2 linked regions of the Rattus norvegicus genome follow. The protein of the gene in region 2 binds, or shares a complex with, the protein of the main gene of each other region. Links are inferred from orthologs where the notes say so. Each region holds a gene or a part of one and is shown on either strand. Other genes may lie near its edges.

Region 1 (4,447 bases), on a different chromosome or scaffold from region 2:
CCTTCTTTCCATACCCAGCGGCTCCGGGGGACGCTCTGTGCGTCAATCCAGCCAGGCAATCCCTAAGATCCTTTGCCCTCAATCAGTCCCCTGGTCAGTCAGGCCAGCTTTACATTGTCTGCTTTTATTCCTTCCAGCCACAGAGCCCAAAGGAGCAGCCTTTCCCTGGTAGGGCAAGGAGGCAAGGATGGAGTTGCCCACGCCCAGGGGACCTGCAGTCTGGATGAACACGAAGACCAGCTCCTTACTGAACGCCCTCCATCATCTTCAGAAACTCTGCGGAGAAAGAGTGGGATGATGTCAGGCGTACCGCTCAGGGCGCAGAGGGGTGCCTAGTCTTTAATGGGGACATTGCACTAAGCTGCGGAACATCCTAAGGGGCCCCCCTAGAGAGTGGGAGGAAACTTAGCCTAAGCCCAGCCCCACCCACAAAGCCAAGAGCCCCAGCCACAAAGCCAAGAGCCCCAGCCACAAAGCCAAGAGCCCCAGCCACAAAGCCAAGAGCCCCAGCCACAAAGCCAAGAGCCCCACCCACAAAACCAAGAGTCCCACCCACAAAGCTAGCCCTCACCGTCGAAGTCAATGCGGCCATCGTTGTTCTTATCACCATCCTTCATCAGGGATTCGATCTCCTCGTCTGTCACATGCTCCCCAGAAGCCCGGAAAATCTCAGCCAGCTCCTCGGCATCAATGTAACCGTCTGCGTTCCTTTGGGAGAGAGGAACAGAACAGGACACAGGGTCAGCCTCACCCTGGCCAGCCTGCCCCTTCGCTTCAGGCCCGCAGGCTCCATCTGCTCCCAAGTCCGGAATCCCAGAAGCCCCACGCACCTGTCAAAGATGCGGAAACACTCAGCCAGTTCCTCTTCGCTCTTCCCTTTCGCATCCTCTTTCATCTGGCGCACCATCATGACCAAGAACTCTTCAAAGTCGATGGTACCGCTGCCTGCAAGGAGCAAAGCGGGGGCGGGGCGGGAGGTGTTAGCCCAGTGTGTGCTGAGCCTTTCCTCCCCGTCCCTGCCTTGGGGGAGCCCAGCTCACCATCCTCGTCCACCTCCTCGATGATGGCGTCCAGTTCCTCTTTGGTGGGTGTCTGCCCTAGCATCCTCATCACGGTACCCAGCTCTTTAACGCTGATGTCCCCACCACCATCAGCATCAAACATGTCAAAGGCAGCCTTGAACTCTAGCGGGGATGAGACGGAAGAAGCGATGGGTGAGGCCAGTTGGATGGTCAACTTTACACCTAATCTCCCCCAACGGCCCACCCTCACTCACCAGCGATCATCTCCTCGCTGAGGTAGGACCTGGCCTCAGCCTGTTGGTCCGTCTATAGGAAACAGAGAGAATCAGAGCGTGGAAGGGCAGACTCTCACCCCAGCTTCAGCTTCCCCAGCCCTCTCTTATATTAGGAAGTGCCCCACCCCCCAGGTCCTCCAGAGCCACTCCAAAGCTAGCTGCACCTCCCAGGTACCCTTGGTGACCATCCCCAGTGCAAAGGGGACATTGGTTATACCCACAGTTTCCCATTTATCTTCGGAGAGCCACATCAAGAAACCCCCATCCCAGCAGTGACTTTTGGCAAGTCACCCTTCTTGTGACTTTGCTGGGATAATAGGACATCGGGGGTAAGAGAGGGCTTGAATGTGTTAGCACTATTCAAGTGTGATTTTCTGATGTCCCTGTCTTCTAATGCTGCCTGGGACTTGACTAGCTGGTCAATAAGTATTTGTCCTCAACTAAATAGCAGAATGCAAAGCCACAGAACATCTACCAAGCACTCGGACGCTGAGACCACAAGAAGAGATGGGCAGCTTTGTGTCAGAGGGTTCTCGGGGGCAAAACTTCTCACTAGGTCATCGGGGTAAACACCTCTCTCACTGTCAAATGTGATGGGGCCATGCGTTGGTGTGAAAATAAGACACCTCTGTTCTGTTACGACGTCCTGGTTTGGGTGTTTAGATAGTCTTGCTGTGTAGCTCGGGTTGGCCTGGAGCTCCACATGTAACCATGAAAGTAAGGTTTCTGTGAATTTTTTCCAGGCCACTCTGGGTCAGGGCTTTGGACTCGAGGTGGTGAGGAAGGGGTGAGTCCCAAGACATTCTTTAGCCAGCTGGCCCAGTTCCTCCTCCCTCCTCCGTCCCTTGGCCTGATCCAGGAGGATAGGCTATTTTTAGTTGGGCATTGTCAATGGCAGCTGGTCTCTGGAGTCCAATTACTCCTTCAAGTGAAGCGGGAGGGTACTCAGAAGAAAGTGGCAGCCCCAGATCAGGGCTCCTCTGTGGATGGTCAGGGTCTCTACCTCTACCCTGTCACCCAGCCCTACTAACCACCATCCTCTCCTCGGGATTCTTAGAGGAAACCTTCCTTCTCTGGTTGCCACAGGCTTGGCTGGGCCCATGGAACCTACTCTGTCTGCCTTGCTGGGAGACTTTTCTGCTTTCATGGTCTCCGTCTCTCCTAGGGAGCAGACAGGCTAAGACCCTTCCCACACAGCTCTGGGTACCCAATAACATTGTCCCAAGCCTCAAGGTGGCCAGGAAGTCATAGCCTTGAGGATCAACTCCTGGACTATCCTGACCCCCTCCCCCAGCCTTCCCAGGATGTCTCCACAGGACTTGGGTTCCAACAACCCTTATCTTCTACCTTCAGGCACCCACATTACTGCCCACAGAGCACACAGTTCTAGGACTGAAAGAGGCCTGTGGACAAAAGCGTGAAGACCCTTCTTGTCCTTACCATGGTTGCTGGTGACTGGGACTCCTCTGCTGTGGGTCCTCTCCTCCGCACTCCACCACCCAAAGGTGCCCCAGATCTCTCTAGCCTTCAGGATTTGTAGGGGCATCCTCTCTTCCCTCCTCCCTACTCCCCAGAACTGGATACCCTGACCAATCAGGTGCAGGGGGCAGCAAGCCCCTCCCCTCCCAGAGTCCTAGCCCATTACCTAATTTAGCCAGGGTCCTTTGCAGGGAAATTTAAGCTTGGAGCAGGTGGCAGTCTCTGACGTTCTCCTAGATTCTTAGGAGGGGGCCCCCGCCCTGCTCCACTGTCTTAGGGAGCTCCTCCCCCACCCCCAGCACACTTGTTCCAAAATGGGGGAAGGATGTTCAGAACAAGAGCACAGTAGAGTGGAAAGAGGCCAGTCTTGAGGTCCAAAATCCATTCAAGACTCTGTTCTCCCTCTGAGCCATGTGAGTGGGGGCGGGTGGCGAGGGCCCTCCAGGCACATCGTCCTCCAAGACAGAAATGGTAAGCGTGAGCCCAGATGACTAAGACACCTAAGCTTGCGCTGGGTGCCTAGGGTTGGCGTTTGGCCCAAGAAGGGGAAGTGATACGCAGTACTGAGGTAGCGACGTGAACTCCCACAACTTGTCCCCCCACTGGGCTGAGCGTCTTGATTCTGTGATCTCATCTACTCTTCATCCCGTGAAGAGGTAACTATTATTATTCCATCTGCCTAGAGCATAAGTCGTGCATCCACAGAGGAACTCTATTCCCCACTTCGGAGGCCAGATCTCATATATTGAACACTGGCCTCGAACACCTGATGTAGCTAACATTAATCTTGAGGTTCTTTTTTTTTTTTTTTTTAAGATTGTATATCTATTGTATGTATGTGCACTAGACTGTCACTGTCTTCAGACACACCAGAAAAGGACATTGGATTCCATTACAGACGGTTGTGAGCCACCATGTGGTTGCTGGGAGTTGAACTCAGGACCTTAGCGAGAGCAGTCAGTGCTCTTAACCTCTGAGCCGTCTCTCCAGCTCAACCTTGAGGTTCTAATCACCCCTACTTCCACCTCCAGAGTGCTGGGGCTTACAGGCATATACCAAGCCCATTTAAGTCCTTTGATTTATTTTGCAAAAGAGTATTCCCTGTCAACTGAGCTGCCCTTGAACTCCTGGGTTCAGGCGATCCTCTCACCTTAGTCTCCGGAATCACCGAATCACCGAGGCTATAGGCATGCTAGATTAGGGTGCTGGGTGGGAAGTCAAGCCTCGGCTATGTGCGTGCTGCAAAGTACTCTACCCACTGAGCTACACCCCCAGCCTTGGTGATTCTTTCAAAACTTAATTTTCTTAATGTGCTTCGTCTGCACGTATGTCTGTGCACCATGTGCATGCCTAGTGCCCAAAGAGGCCGGAAGAAGGCACCGGATCCCACAGTTTCGAGCTACCATGTAGGTGCTAGGAATTGAACCAAGGTCTTCTGCAAGAGCAGCAAGTGATCTTAAGTACTGAGCTGCGGCCTTGGCAACTCCCATTACTTAACCTTTGTTGTGGAAAAATTAGGATGAGCCTGACCCTAGGGGCCCACCTAGAAGCGTTCAGAGTAAAGAGCGTGCGCCTCATGTTGTGAGGAGAAATGAGCATTGACAAAAGCTTCTCTCCCTGTCGCTCACCCGGGGAAAGGCAAACGCCCACTCTCTGGTGAGAATGCTAGGT
Region 2 (4,232 bases):
TTGGGAGTGTGCCTGTCATAGCCATTCTGAGCGAATGACTGTACCAAGGGACAAAGAAGCTGATCCCAAAACTTCCACTCACATGTTGGAGTCCCATGGTCATCTTTCTCCATGTCCTGTCATGTTAGACATTGATCGCACCCATGAGTTACAGGGTACAGCCCAGGGTCTTTGGACTGTACCCAAGCAGTATGGCCTTTGTCCTACCACACAGCTGATCACTGCTGATGGGCTCCAGAGGAAGCAGAGACAGAACTAGACCACACCAGTGGAAGGGATGCGAATCCTTTATTGGAGTGAGGCCAAGTACTCCAGACTGGATGTTAGGTGCTTCCCCAATGGTAGGGTGGGACTGGGGAAGTAGGCAGTTAGGACTCAGACTCAAACATCTTCTTCCGACCCTCCATGCCAGACTTCTCCTCAATATTCTTCCTCCAGTCACCCACGTCACGCAGGTCCCGCTCCTGAGGGCAGGACGAGAGAGGTCTCAGATCCACCCCGGTCTGCTCCAGACTACCCTGGGCCTTGGTTTACTGTAAAAGGGATTGTGAGTGGACTCTCTCTTTCTTGGCTCTCCCCTGGGCCCTGGCCTACCTTCTCAGTGTCTTCCTTCTTGACCTGCTTCAGGTTGGCTCTCAGGTCCATGCACACCTTGTGCTTAGAGCCCAGCAGCGCCTTCAGCATGGCGTCAGCTGACATACGCACCCTCCGGAGTGGGGGCCTCTTGAACTTGCCCCTCAGGTCAAATAGCTTCTGGTTCATGTCTTCCAGCTGGGAGGAAGGAGGAGGTTTAGGAGCCAGGTTTAGGACCCTGCCCTTGCTCTGTATCTTTGACCTTACTTTCACACCACCTGGCTTCACCCCCATATCGCTTGGCTTCACCCATGTTGCCTGGCTCCCCCATTCATATAGCCTGCCCTACTCCCTTCATCCCGCAAACCACTGACTCCACCCCATGCCGTATGCCCCACCCCCTCACCATTGACTCCTCCCTCTCACCTCCTTGCTGCTCTTCTGCACCTTCACCTCCATGTCATATTTCTCCTCTTCAGCCGCATCGATCTTCGCATGCAGTTGTTTGCAGAGTTCCTGGGTGGGCGAGCAGTGGGTGGGTGGCCACCCTGATACCCGAGGACCACTGTCCCCTCCCAGTCCTGATCCAATAGGGTTGATCTGCTGAGAAATGGGGGTAGCAGGGCCTTGGGTGGTACGGGGCAGGAAGGAACTACCTGCACTTCAGACATGGAGCCTGGGATGTGCAGAGGCGGGCAGTGTTCTGACAGGTAGTTCTGCTTCTCGGATTCGCGGCGGCTTTCCTCTTTTTCCAGCTCTGTGGCCGCGATCTGGAGCATCACACTCTGAGGAACAGAGCGGTGGGCGTGAGGGTCCGCCGTGAACTCCCACTCCTACCTCTGTACCCCCAGCCCTCTGCAGCAGCCCACCCTTACCTTCAGGTGCTGTCTCCGGGCCGTGATGGCCCTGTTGCGCTTCTGCAGGACAGGACAGAGGGGTCAGAGTCAGGCTTTGGCTAGAGCTCTGACCTCCTTGGGAGCCATCTGACTTGGGGTTCCCAAGGAGGTAACAAGGCCACTGCCCAGGGCCCTGTTTTTTCCCTAGTCTGGGGCCTGCTTCAGGGACACATGCCTGTGGTCCTGACATTTTGCTTAGGTGGTACATGGGGATGAAGGGGTTAATGAGGATGAGGAGGCAGTATATGGCCAGGCCTCAGAGGCTGTGGGCAAGGGGAGGCCCGGAAGGTGAGTGGTGAACAGAAATTAGAAAGGAGAAGTGATTCCTTTGTGACTAGACCTAAGTCATACTTCCCTTGCCTCACAAAACACCAGGCGGGCACTTCCTCTCTCTCTGGGGTAGTTCAGGGGGTGGGGCATTTGGGAGTCTTGACAGGGGTGTCTTCTGTCCTAGCCTCAGGGGACCATTATAGCCTCCAACGATACTCACCTCCTCACTGTCCCAGGAGGAAGAGGGAGGTAGGAGTGGGAGAAAAAAAGAGACGTTAGATCATGGCTCATGGGAGTAGCCTTGAAACTTAGGGGTTGATGGGGTTGAAGGGGTGGGCAGTAGCCACAGAGGGAAGGGAGAGAGAGGAGACCCAAACCCTGGTGAGGGGACTGCAGTTCAGGTCATCCTGGGTGTCACTTACTCTCCCATCTTGAGATCTCAAGCTCTGAGCCTGTGGGGAGAGAGGTGATGGTGTCAGTGTTCGCCTTGCGGGAGGCTTGGCATGGAGACCTGGGCTCACTAGCTCACTTCTGCTCTACCCACAACTCAGACCTTCTCAGAGGGCAAGGATTTGGAGGACATCTCCCCCCACCCCCACCCCCACCCCGAGGGTGAGAAGTAAGAGGAGAAAGTGTTCCCAAAATGTCCTAGGCGGGGCCTGAGGAGCTGCAGCTGTCCCTGAGGGAGGGGTGGGGTGGGGCTGGCCAGCACAGGTGGCTGCCAGAGTGAGCCTGTTATTTTTAACTCTTGCTCCTTTGACTTGAGAAGTAAATGCTTGGAAGAAAGTGCTCTTCCGTGTGGCCTGGGGGCTCAAGTCCCCACTTGCTTGACCTGAACATTCTCCTGCTTTCGAGTCCCCAGACTCAGAGCCTGTTATCCCAGGCCTGTTGAAGACCCCCTGCCCTAGCCTAGCAGCACCTGTTGTTTCTCAATCTCAGATCTGTGGGAGATCTTGGAGACCCCAGACCCCCCCCCCCCAAGCCCCTGCCCAGGGAAGTCCTCCTGTGAGCTCGCCTGAGTAGTGCCCTATTCTTCAACCTCAAGAAGATGGGCTTGGCCTCACCTAGATTCTGTGCAGCAGTGCTGGGAGCGAGGTCAAGCCGGCAGCAGTGAGCTGGGCTGGTGGGCCAGGGGGAGGGGTATAAATTGCTTTCCCTGGGCCGGGCCCCTGCTCAGAAAGGGCATGGAGTCTCCTCAGACCAATGGGGGCACAGAGAGGAGGAGAGCCTCCCCACCTGCCCAGCCGCCTGGCCAGCCAGCCCAGGCGCTGGCCTGTCCAAGAAGTCTTGGGGTGGGGAGTGGGGGGTGGTTTGCTCTATTTATGTCTCAATGACGAGTTCAAGATGCCACCCTTGTTCCTGCAAGAGCCCTCAGGACAGCAAGTGTAATCTTCCATGTGGGTCGCCAAGGTACCCAGCTCAAAGCATCCACTGAAGTCTTCCTCCAAGGGAAACCGGACTTCACCAAGAGTAGGTTGAACTAGAGTCGTTGTCAAATGGTATGTGTGGCCTTGTACTTCAGCACCCATCTGGCCACTCATTGCCTGCTGGGTGCTCATGCCCTGCTTGGGCCCCTGTACTGATTGACTGTTCACCTCACCAGTCCTCCTGCAAAATTGCACACTCGCCCCCCAAACCAAAAACCATTCTCTTGGGCCCTGTGTGATAGGTAGTCAGGGCTCAGTAGAGTAATGCCCACCTCTTGTAGTGAACTTGCCTTTCTGCCCAGAAAGAGAAGCAAATGCGCCCCTCGACCAGCAGCTGGGCCTCTCCCAGCCTGCCACACACCCCTGCCTATGGGTGCCTCTGCACAGACAACTCGGAACATGTCCTTCAACCCCAGAGAATGGTGCTACCGCCCTAGGAACCTTTGTCTGACCTGTGGGGGCTCAGGGCCCTTGGTTGTCTAGGCAGGCCCTGCATTACCCGGCTCACTGGGGCCGGGCCCTTGCTCCTTTCCCGCTCCTGAACCCCACCCAGAGGAAACCAGATCATGGCTTGGCCCCAACCCTGCTGCTCTGGGGCCCCTGGGGATCAGAGGAGGGTTGGAGCTGCTAAAGCCCGCCAGATGTGCTGGGATTAAGAGGTATATCACAAGCCAGGGCTGTGAGCCCCCAAAGGCCCCAGAGCAGCTTCCAAAGGCATCTACTGCCCCCTGTTGATAGTACAGAAGACACCATATCACCATCCCTCCTGGCGTTGGGGTCTCTTCCCCACGCTGTACCTACCCACAGCTCCCCCCACCCCCAATTGCCCTCTATCTTCACAGGGCCAGTGCTCGTCTCCTGCTCCTCTGCCAATCCTGGCTGGCAGAGAGGATGGTGCCCATCTTCCAGGGAAAGACCTAGAATCAGGCCTTGTGCAGAGCTTCAGGACTAACAAATCTGTTCAGAGTACCCTACCCCATCCTTGAGAGGGCAGTGGGGCCAAAGTGTAGCCCATCTTGTATCTCAGGTCCTCCTCACAGGGCTCCGTCAAGACACGTGAATGTGA

Evidence for each region.
Region 1: the proteins of Tnni2 (region 2) and Tnnc2 are in contact, whole or in part, in a crystal structure (PDB 1A2X), measured with the Oryctolagus cuniculus proteins. The link is inferred for Rattus norvegicus from reciprocal best matches to the Homo sapiens genes TNNI2 and TNNC2. Residues at the interface, in NP_001076252.1 of Oryctolagus cuniculus: Glu5, Asn8, Arg9, Ile11, Thr12, Arg14, Arg15, Gln16, His17, Leu18, Lys19, Ser20, Val21, Met22, Leu23, Ile25, Ala26, Glu29, Leu30, Glu33; in NP_001076114.1 of Oryctolagus cuniculus: Ser13, Glu15, Met16, Ala18, Glu19, Ala22, Lys91, Leu96, Glu98, Cys99, Arg101, Ile102, Phe103, Arg105, Ile119, Phe120, Ala122, Ser123, Glu125, His126, Val127, Glu131, Ser134, Leu135, Asp138, Phe152, Met155, Met156, Val159, Gln160.

What each region holds. Positions count from the first base shown.
Region 1 is NC_086021.1:173,932,507-173,936,953, forward strand, and holds Tnnc2 (troponin C, skeletal muscle), read right to left. Parts: upstream 2,834-4,447; 5' UTR 2,741-2,833; coding exon 2,738-2,740; intron 1,329-2,737; coding exon 1,277-1,328; intron 1,185-1,276; coding exon 1,041-1,184; intron 946-1,040; coding exon 831-945; intron 709-830; coding exon 572-708; intron 277-571; coding exon 245-276; 3' UTR 105-244; downstream 1-104. UniProt on the Homo sapiens protein: Troponin is the central regulatory protein of striated muscle contraction. Tn consists of three components: Tn-I which is the inhibitor of actomyosin ATPase, Tn-T which contains the binding site for tropomyosin and Tn-C.
Region 2 is NC_086019.1:207,023,072-207,027,303, reverse strand, and holds Tnni2 (troponin I, fast skeletal muscle), read right to left. Parts: upstream 2,815-4,232; 5' UTR 2,804-2,814; intron 2,192-2,803; 5' UTR 2,170-2,191; coding exon 2,162-2,169; intron 1,967-2,161; coding exon 1,960-1,966; intron 1,493-1,959; coding exon of another isoform or gene 1,491-1,492; coding exon 1,449-1,490; intron 1,359-1,448; coding exon 1,230-1,358; intron 1,090-1,229; coding exon 1,000-1,089; intron 772-999; coding exon 595-771; intron 465-594; coding exon 369-464; 3' UTR 272-368; downstream 1-271. UniProt on the Homo sapiens protein: Troponin I is the inhibitory subunit of troponin, the thin filament regulatory complex which confers calcium-sensitivity to striated muscle actomyosin ATPase activity.